Linked DNA regions of Tribolium castaneum. The protein of the gene in region 1 interacts with the protein of each later gene in a biochemical or structural test. Links are inferred from orthologs where the notes say so. Each region holds a gene or a part of one and is shown in the gene's direction. Other genes may lie near its edges.

What was found. The genes of interacting proteins can lie anywhere in the genome.
Region 2: of the proteins of mTor (region 1) and Maf1, one has a biochemical effect on the other in vitro, tested with the Homo sapiens proteins (2 studies listed by BioGRID and IntAct). The link is inferred for Tribolium castaneum from reciprocal best matches to the Homo sapiens genes MTOR and MAF1.

Annotation. Positions count from the first base shown.
Region 1 is NC_087399.1:3,309,736-3,313,922, forward strand, and holds the end of mTor (serine/threonine-protein kinase mTOR), read left to right. Parts: coding exon 1-308; intron 309-380; coding exon 381-612; intron 613-664; coding exon 665-985; intron 986-1,033; coding exon 1,034-1,488; intron 1,489-1,533; coding exon 1,534-2,128; intron 2,129-2,252; coding exon 2,253-3,590; 3' UTR 3,591-3,681; downstream 3,682-4,187. UniProt on the Homo sapiens protein: Serine/threonine protein kinase which is a central regulator of cellular metabolism, growth and survival in response to hormones, growth factors, nutrients, energy and stress signals.
Region 2 is NC_087398.1:6,530,370-6,535,756, reverse strand, and holds Maf1 (repressor of RNA polymerase III transcription MAF1 homolog), read left to right. Parts: upstream 1-1,776; 5' UTR 1,777-2,431; coding exon 2,432-2,773; intron 2,774-3,730; coding exon 3,731-4,008; intron 4,009-4,060; coding exon 4,061-4,127; 3' UTR 4,128-4,540; downstream 4,541-5,387. Other genes in the region: uncharacterized protein LOC663202, read right to left, coding at 1-167. UniProt on the Homo sapiens protein: Plays a role in the repression of RNA polymerase III-mediated transcription in response to changing nutritional, environmental and cellular stress conditions to balance the production of highly abundant tRNAs, 5S rRNA, and other small non-coding RNAs with cell growth and maintenance.

The DNA of each region.
Region 1 (4,187 bases):
CTCGATAGCCACATTCTGGGGCACCATGCGATGCATTGCCGGGCGTACGCCAAAGCCTTGCATTATAAGGAAGAGGAGTTTCAAAGGGGGGCGAGCAGCCAGGTTGTCGAAGCACTCATTTCGATCAATAATAAGTTGCAACAAAAGGAGGCGGCTGAAGGGTTGTTACAATACGTCATGCAGAGGGAAATGCAAGTGCAGGTCAGGTGGTACGAGAAGTTGCACAATTGGGAGAAGGCCCTGAGGTTGTATACTGAGAAACTGGAAGGGGACGAGGCGGACCAAGAGGCTTGTTTGGGCAAAATGAGGTTCGATTCAATTTTGTCTTTTCCCAAAAAAATCCTAGTTATGTTTTATAAACTTCTACATTGATTTTTCAGATGTCTCGAAGCGTTGGGCGAATGGGGCGAACTGCACCAAGTCGTCGAGAAAAGTTTCAGTTTACTAAATGACGACAGCAAACAAAAGGCGAGTCGGCTAGCGGCTGCGGCCTCCTTCGGTTTGCACGATTACAGGTCAATGGAAACTTACGTTAATGTAATTCCAAGGGATACGCAAGAGGGTGCGTTCTACCGTGCAATTTTGGCAATACATAAAGAGGATTACGAAGTGGTTTGTACCGTAAAAATCAGACAGATCGGTTTGGTTTATTAACCGGTTCCAGGCCCAAAGATTCATCGATTCAGCTCGCGATTTACTCGATAATGAATTAACTGCGATGGCTGGTGAGTCCTACCAAAGGGCCTACGGGGCCATGGTCATGGTACAAATGTTATCCGAGTTGGAAGAAGTAATGCAGTATCGGTTAGTGCCAGAACGGAGGCCCACTTTAAAAGCCATGTGGTGGCAAAGGCTCCAATCGGGCCAAAAACTAGTCGAAGATTGGCAAAGAATCATCCAAGTCCATTCCTTGGTCTTGACCCCACAAGAAGACAAACGAACGTGGGTGAAATACGCGTCATTGTGTCGCAAGAGCGGTTCATTAGTAAGTTCATACTCACACTTGATATTTTTTCTACAGTCGGTTTGATAGATGCTATCGCAAAAAACCCTAGTCATGTTACTCGGTTACGACCCAAGCGAACGTCCCGACGCCCCCTTGCCCAAAAACCAGCCTCACATCACACTAGCCTACGCCAAACATTTATGGGTGGCACAGGAAAAACAAAAAGCGTTCCAAAAACTATCACAATTCGTCGCTGACTATTCGCAAAACGAGCCAAACGACGACGTGACAGTTGAAGAGAAAAAAAGACTCCTGGCTAGGTGTTACCTCAAACTGGGGGCCTGGCATGAGGCACTTGAAGGCATCAACGAAACCTCCATACCTTTCATTTTGAAGTGTTACAAACAAGCGACTGAACACGACCCTCAATGGTACAAGGCATGGCACGCTTGGGCCTATATGAATTTCGAAACGGTCTTGTATTACACGAGACAGGAGGACAAGACGCACTATACAGTCTTAGCCGTTCAGGGATTTTTCAAGTGAGTCGGTTAAAACCGTTTTTTAACCCTAATTGTTCGTTTCAGATCGATTAATTTATCTAAAGGAAGTTCATTGCAAGACACTTTACGTTTATTAACACTGTGGTTCGATTACGGCGATTGGCCCGAAGTTTACGATGCCATAGTCGAAGGCATTCGTTTAGTCGAGAAAAACACGTGGCTTCAAGTAATTCCGCAATTAATCGCGCGAATTGACACAACGGCGTTAGTATCGAAATTAATCAATCATCTATTGGTTGATATTGGAAAAACGCATCCACAAGCCCTAGTCTATCCGTTAACCGTCGCAACAAAAAGTAATTCAATCAGACGTAGAAATGCAGCTAATAGTATTTTAAAATCGATGAGTGAACATTCCCCTACGTTGGTAAGTCAGGCCATGATGGCCTCAGAAGAATTGATCCGAGTGGCAATTTTGTGGCACGAAATCTGGCACGAGGGACTAGAAGAAGCCTCAAGATTGTATTTCGGCGAACGTAACGTTAAAGGAATGTTGCGAATTCTCGAACCGTTGCATGCGATGATGGAAAGGGGGCCCCAGACGTTGAAAGAGACGAGTTTTAATCAGACGTACGGCAGGGATCTGAACGAGGCGCAAGACTGGTGCCAAAGATACAAGGTTTGTATTTTCACCTAAATATTTGCTTTTTTTGTCTTTATAGTCTTTATCAATGAGGAAAAATTAATTAAGTTTTGCTAAAAAAACCTGTGGCCACTTCACCAAGAAAAATTTGTTATTTCAGCTTTCGAGCAACATTAGAGACCTGAACCAGGCGTGGGACCTCTACTACCACGTTTTCCGCCGCATTTCGCGTCAATTACCGCAACTCACCTCCCTCGAATTACAATACGTATCGCCAAATTTGCTAGTTTGTCAAGACTTAGAGTTGGCAGTGCCTGGTAGCTACTGTCCAGGACAGCCAATCGTACGCATTGCCAATTTTAACCGATCTCTCGAAGTAATTACCTCAAAACAGCGGCCCCGAAAACTAGTAATTCGTGGAAGCAACGGCAAAGACTACATGTTTTTACTTAAAGGTCACGAGGATCTGAGACAAGACGAGCGTGTTATGCAACTGTTCGGTTTAGTTAATACTTTACTAATGAAAGACCCGGATACGTTCAGGCGGAATTTGACGATACAGCGGTATGCGGTGATTCCCCTGAGTACGAATTCGGGTCTGATTGGGTGGTTACCGCACTGTGATACGCTGCACACTTTAATACGGGATTATAGAGACAAGAAGAAGATTTTGTTGAATATTGAGCATAGGATTATGTTACGGATGGCGCCGGATTATGATCATTTAACCGTGATGCAGAAAATGGAAGTTTTTGAGCACGCACTTGAGCACACACATGGTGACGATTTAGCGCGGTTGTTGTGGCTGAAAAGCCCCTCGTCTGAGGTTTGGTTTGACCGGAGAACGAACTACACGCGGTCTTTAGCTGTGATGTCAATGGTTGGGTATATTTTGGGGTTGGGGGATCGCCACCCCTCCAATTTAATGTTGGACAGACTGAGCGGCAAAATCCTGCATATAGATTTCGGCGATTGCTTCGAAGTGGCAATGACTAGGGAAAAATTCCCGGAAAAGATCCCCTTCCGTTTGACTAGGATGCTAATAAACGCCATGGAAGTGACAGGGATTGAAGGCACGTACAGACGGACTTGTGAGTCGGTCATGTCCATGTTACACCGAAATAAAGACAGTCTGATGGCGGTGCTTGAAGCCTTTGTTTATGACCCCCTGCTTAATTGGCGATTGATGGATATTGAGGTGCGGAACTTGCCGATGAACAGCGATTCAATGTCGACGAGTTGTTCCCAAAAACAGGGCTCATCCGAATCGCTCAATGTTCCGAAACGCGAGATGATAATGGAAGATAACGAACCGCAACACGAAGTTAATGCCAGGGCGGTTATTATCATCAATCGAGTTAGAGATAAACTGACCGGGAACGATTTCGCTACGGAGGAACCTTTGACTATTCCTAAGCAAGTCGATCTGTTAATACAACAAGCGACAAGTAACGAGAACTTGTCACAGTGTTACATAGGCTGGTGCCCCTTTTGGTAACTCGACTGCTGCATCTAATACCGTGATAGTTTTTTGTTGTGTATCTTATTATTTTTTATATAATCTAGTTGAAATAAAGTAATTATTACAAGTGTGTGTTTAGGAGCGCAATAAACAACTAAGATTAATACAAACTTACCAAACGTGCGATTTGAGCGACTTTTTATCACTTAAAATTTTATCAAACTTTTTCAAATGACATAATTGACAAACTGAATTGCCAACCTGGCAACAAAAATACGTTTTCCACAAATAATTCGAAAAAACACAATTTTACCGTAAATAAAATAATATTTCGTGACCACTGATCAATTTTCGCACAAACTATTTTATTATTACAGGTTTTAAGGAACATTTTAGCAAACTTCAAAAAACTGTAGTTTTGCAACAAAAGACGATCAAACACGAAAAAACAAAAAAATTAGCATTTTTAGCGTTAAAAACGTGCAATTGTAATAAAAGTATATTGCAAGCTTACCTCAAATGAGTCTGGCCGTTTTTTTATCAAACGTAATCACTTTTTGTGATTAACAATTTTTCAAAATAACGCAATTGTTAGTCACCTGTCAGCAAACAAATTTTTGACAGCCGACAAAT
Region 2 (5,387 bases), on another chromosome or scaffold:
GAATTCAAGCTCTCACAACTGCTGGAATTTTGAGTGTCTATGGATTCGCGAGAAGTCGAGGGTTTAAACCATTTCAAGAAAGCAAATAAACCGCTGTTTCTTTTGCTAGTTTTTGGATCACAGCCAGGACTTTGTCCGATCTCTGAATCTTGGTGATTGAGGCTCATAGTATTGTTATAATCACATGTTTGGTGGCAATTCTTCTCGCTACCACAACAAATGAGGAAATATCACATTACGAAAGCCACGTGTTAGTCATCAATCGAGGCAAAGCGTTTTATTCGGATCGAAAGTAATTATATCAAATTTGGACTGGTGTTAGAATGGCACACCCGACTTACCGATCGCGTTGTCTTAAATTGCGGAAAAGTTTCTTTAATTGAGTTTCTTGATCGCCGAGTTTTCGAGTGTATTTTGAGAGTTTACGTTCGTGACGTTGGGAACGGAGAGAAACGACGCTCGACGTCCCGATGCTTGGGTTAAATTTAGTAAATGGATAGTTCGGCTACGTCCGGTTGTCAAATTGTTTCTCAATTTTCTGTTTACTAAATAACATTAAAAATAAACACGGCCTATGATAAACTGAGGAGCGATGGAGATGGACTTTTTTCATCGTAGCTTTCAGCTTTTCGGCTTCAGATGCATCGCAGCAGTAAAAATAGTTCGGTTTTATGTAAGAGTGTAAGACTATAGAGGATCTATTGGATAGCTACAGGATTTTGTAATATTTTTGGATGATTTATTTAAGAGTTTAAAAAAATCAATCCTATTTTTAAATTTAAATTTTATTTTATTTTGTATTTAGATACTTATAGTATCATTTCTTAAAATCTTATATTTTTTGAAATTTTTCATCTTTAATAAATAAGTCGAATTTTCTGCATATACCTAAGGTAGTACCTGATAGGTATTATCATTAATCAAAGGTCAAAACCACGATATTAATTTCTTCAGTCTGAGGAATTCAATGTTGATTGTTCTAAAAATAAATAAAACACATTTAATGATAACAACCTTTATTATTGAATAATTATCGATGTGCATGGTCTACAAATATGCAATGCATTGTTTTTACAGAATGATTTTTTTTGTACATACCATTTTTCTAAAATGCAAACAGTCATATCATAGAAAAAAATTTAATGTTTTACATAATAATTTTGTAATCACTTTGTACATATTTTTGTTTTCATTTCATTACATAACTGATTATAAATATTTATTATGAAAGGAATCCAGCTTCCAAGCGATAACAATTTCTGTATCTATTTTTATTATGCAATTCATTATAGTGCACCTGGAAATTCGTGTGAATTTAAATAAAAAAAGTATATTAACTGTTGAGCGAATTAATTATCTTAATTAAGCATACTCAAATAACAGTTATTTTCGATGCTCTTGCCCTAATTAATCAAGGTGGATTGTTCAATTGCCAGCGGCGTCCCACTTTAACAAAAAATTAAAAATTATAATTCATACTTCTAAAAAAAAATTCAATAAATCCAAAATTGAGTTTTTTTTTTGAAAATAAATAAATAAATAAATAAATTTGCGGGCAAACCGCAGACTAAACACGTATCTATCATAACAACCCCTACTACTGATGAAAAACAAGTAATTCGCGTGATATTTTCCTATAATGTTGCAATAATAGGAGTCAGAGTTTACAATTTTGCAATTTTCGATTTTGTTACGCCTCTGTGTGACCTTAGGGGTCATGTTGGTGTAAATAAGAGCTCACAAAGGCAAGCGATGGGCCAGGGTCGCCAACTCGCCGATTTTCCTTGGGTGCATAAAAAATCATCTGCCGGTTAAGTTTTTGGCACAGTTGTGTGCACTTTCGTGTTCTTTTGGTGTAAAAACAAGAACAATCGTCGACGAAAGTCGTTTTGTAATTCTAATTGTGTGCGTCCGCTTGCCAGTTTCTAATTTTGCGTCCGTTAGGTTGGCATCGTCCGCTTGACATTCATTTGTGTACAAGCTCGATTTATGTCAGAGTGAAAAACAGTGTTTTTTCGTGAAAAACTGTAGTAAATTTTGTAAAAAGTTTGATTCGGGTGTTGCGTTAGTTGTGCTCGTTCGTAAAATGTACCACTCTTCGTATTCCGAACTCTAGCAAAGGCGAAATTTCCAGAATCTCGGACTGTCATAAACAAACAAAGTGGACTCGCCCAGTGAAACATTTGAGTTTTTTCCAATTCGAATTGACTCTGCCCCAAAACACTTTTTCTTTTTTAATTTCTAATAAGTGTAATGTGCCCAAACTATCTGTTGAGCAAGTCGGTGAAGCGTACTTTGGTCCCGTCGTGTCTCCGCCACTCCAAGAGAAAAGGCATATTCATACACCCGACCGCAATGTTCAAAAACTTTTCCGCCAGTGCTTTAAGTCCGTTATTACCCAAATAAACATATCAAGTCCAAAAAGTACAAAATGAAACTGCTCGAGAGTACAAGATTTGAAGCCATCAACAACCTCCTGTCGATCCAGACCGGAGACAGCCAAATCATCGGCCGCATCGAGAGCTACTCCTGCAAGATGGCAGGGGCTGACAAGGCCCTCTACAAGCGGTTCAACCCCGAGGGGGTGCACCCCAACGACTTGCAAGCCCTGTCGCCCCCCGAGGGCGTCTCCCCCGGCCATTCGCAGTACAGCCGTAGCGTCTCAGGCGACGAAGAGGGCCCGCTTTGCGACACAATCAGTCGCAAGACTCTCTTCTACCTCATCGCAACCCTCAACTCGGCCTTCCCCGACTACGACTTCATGGACGTCAAGGTACGACCTGAAGGTCGGCCCACTCTATTTCAGGCCCGCCAAGTCCCCACCCAACAGTCAACACCATTTTTTCTATTCTTTGATGCTTTTATAATCGCCCGATACCTTTATCTCGGGGATAAGTTTCGAAAAATACATTCTTGAAACAAATAAACGCAAATAACTTATCGGGCGTTTATCTAAAATCCAGCCTTAGCAAGTTTAACTATTTGATTTTTGAAAATCCTTAATCTTTATACTTTAATCATTAACTAATTAAAAATGTTGAGAGGCTCATTTTTCCAAAATTTAAGATTAAGGTCATATCGAAATAAGTATTGTTATTATTACTGGCCTTGTAGAAATATGTAAAACATTGAGTAGTATTTGAGCTATTTTTTTACTAAGATGATATGTGAAAAAAAAAACAATCTTTGATCAGATTTTGAGAGATTTTATTAAAAGGTAGAAAATTACATGTTTACAGGTTTGTTCCGTTGAATTCAGCGGCTCATTTTCTGTGTTATACCAGCTTTTAACGAGATCTAACATTTTAAAATTTTTTGCTAAAAATTAATAACTCAAAAACAAAAAGTCGTAGAGCAATACGGTTTGTTCCATTGAATTCAGCGGCTCATTTTCTGTATTACACCAACTTTTAACGAGATCTAACATTTTTAAATTTTTTGTTAAAAATTAAGATAGGCATTTTCTATAGTCGAAAATTTTATTCAACAAAAAAATTCATAACTCAAAAACAAAAAGTCGTAGAGCAATGCGCTTTGTTCCAGTGAATTCAGCGGCTCTGTAAACCTTAAAACTTTATGCTTGAAACTCTGTAATTTTTGCTTGCAACAGGCCTTAAGTTTATTCTAAAGCTTATTAGAGTTATTTTGTTAAGGATGCTTTAAAGTTGAACGCTGAGAATTAATTACGGGTGGCGTTATCTATTGGAGTGATAATGAGCCATGTTTCCAGAGCCACGAGTTCAGCAAGGAGCCCTCGCGCCAGTGGGTCGAGAACGCAATCGATTCGAACTTGATCGCCACTGCAGGAGACCAGTACCGCGGTCTGGGGGCCTCTCTGTGGGCCGCAATCAACGACGAGATATCCCTCGAAGATTGCGACATCTATTCTTACAATCCCGATTTAGCCTCGGATCCTTTCGGGGAAGACGGCTGTCTCTGGAGTTTTAATTATTTTTTCTACAATAAGCGACTAAAGCGTATCGTTTTCTTTACTTGTCGCGCCGTAAAGTGAGTTTTCTGTAAGCGGGTTTGACGCCCGGCTAACTCGTTCTGTTTGCAGTCCGTTCAGTATGGATTCCGGCTACGCCACTGATTTCATCATGGACGAAGTGGATCTCGCTTACTGAATATTTTTAACGTGTTACTAATTTTGATGTCAAATCGTACTATTTGAGTTGTAGTTTTGGTGAGAGCAAAAGTACAAAATATTTTTTTATTAGTGTGAAACAATAGGTTAAGTGGAATGTTGCGGTATTATTAATTTTTACTTATGCTGTAATCACCCCATGGCTTTAGTAATTAGGAGTTTAGTGACTTTTTCTCTGGTTGCTGGTTACGATCTCACGACACGTCTAGTTATCTAATGCAATATCGTACAAAATATAAGATTTCACGATTTTAGTACTAAAATGTATCTATTAAATGTATATCTAATTTTCAAAGGCACGATTTGCTTGGAGTTCAACGTTCAGTTCCAAGTGCCATCCTTATAGTGAGTTATTTACTGTAAGATCTGATATTATAACATGTTATTTAGTCAGCTGTGGTTTCTCAATTCACTTCCTACCCGAGTCACATACAAATTTTGCTCCTGACCGGTCACAATTTGCATGGAAATTAAGTTTTTTTGGTCGAGATACGCAAAATAATTTTTATCTTTAATTAGATGCCGTATATGTCGTTGACACCTGACGTTAAATAATTTAAGTTTGTTTTTATTAACTTGTAAAATCGTACATCAGGACAATTTTATGACATGGTTATTTAATTTCCATAATATTAATAAGTGCTTAACGCACTGTGACCGGTATCTACCCAATTATCCCTTAATCTTAAATCCAATTTAATGCCATATTTTCTAAAGTCGTAAAATTTTGGTAATATGGTATGGAGTTAACGACTGGATTAATTGCGTTCTCTACCGGGGAAACATTGTAGTAATGACAGGTGTGCCCTTGAAAGTCTCGTAGAATTGAATTTGGGTCTAGCGTGTTCGATACGAGCCATAATGAAATTGTCTCAACCTCTCATGCAATCTTTTTAATTTATAGAGACAGGTAAACGAGTGTCGTGGCCACTTGAGAGCTAATCGTTCATATTCAAGTAAACATTTATTTATCCAACTCGCCAGGGGCCGTCTTTTATCAGATAAAGCAATGATTAATCAGCTCTTTATTTCGACGTTTTCGTGTTTGTTCAAATTAATTGGGTTTCATTTATTGGAAAAAAGCAAACAGACATTTCCCATTTTCTTCGAGGATATTTAGTCCCGAAGCCTGTCGGTACACGCGACACTGATATAATCTCCCCTATCCGATTACCCGCGATAATAATTAACATTTTTAGAGCTTCCGCCGACACTCATCGAATTTCCGAAGATTTTTCAA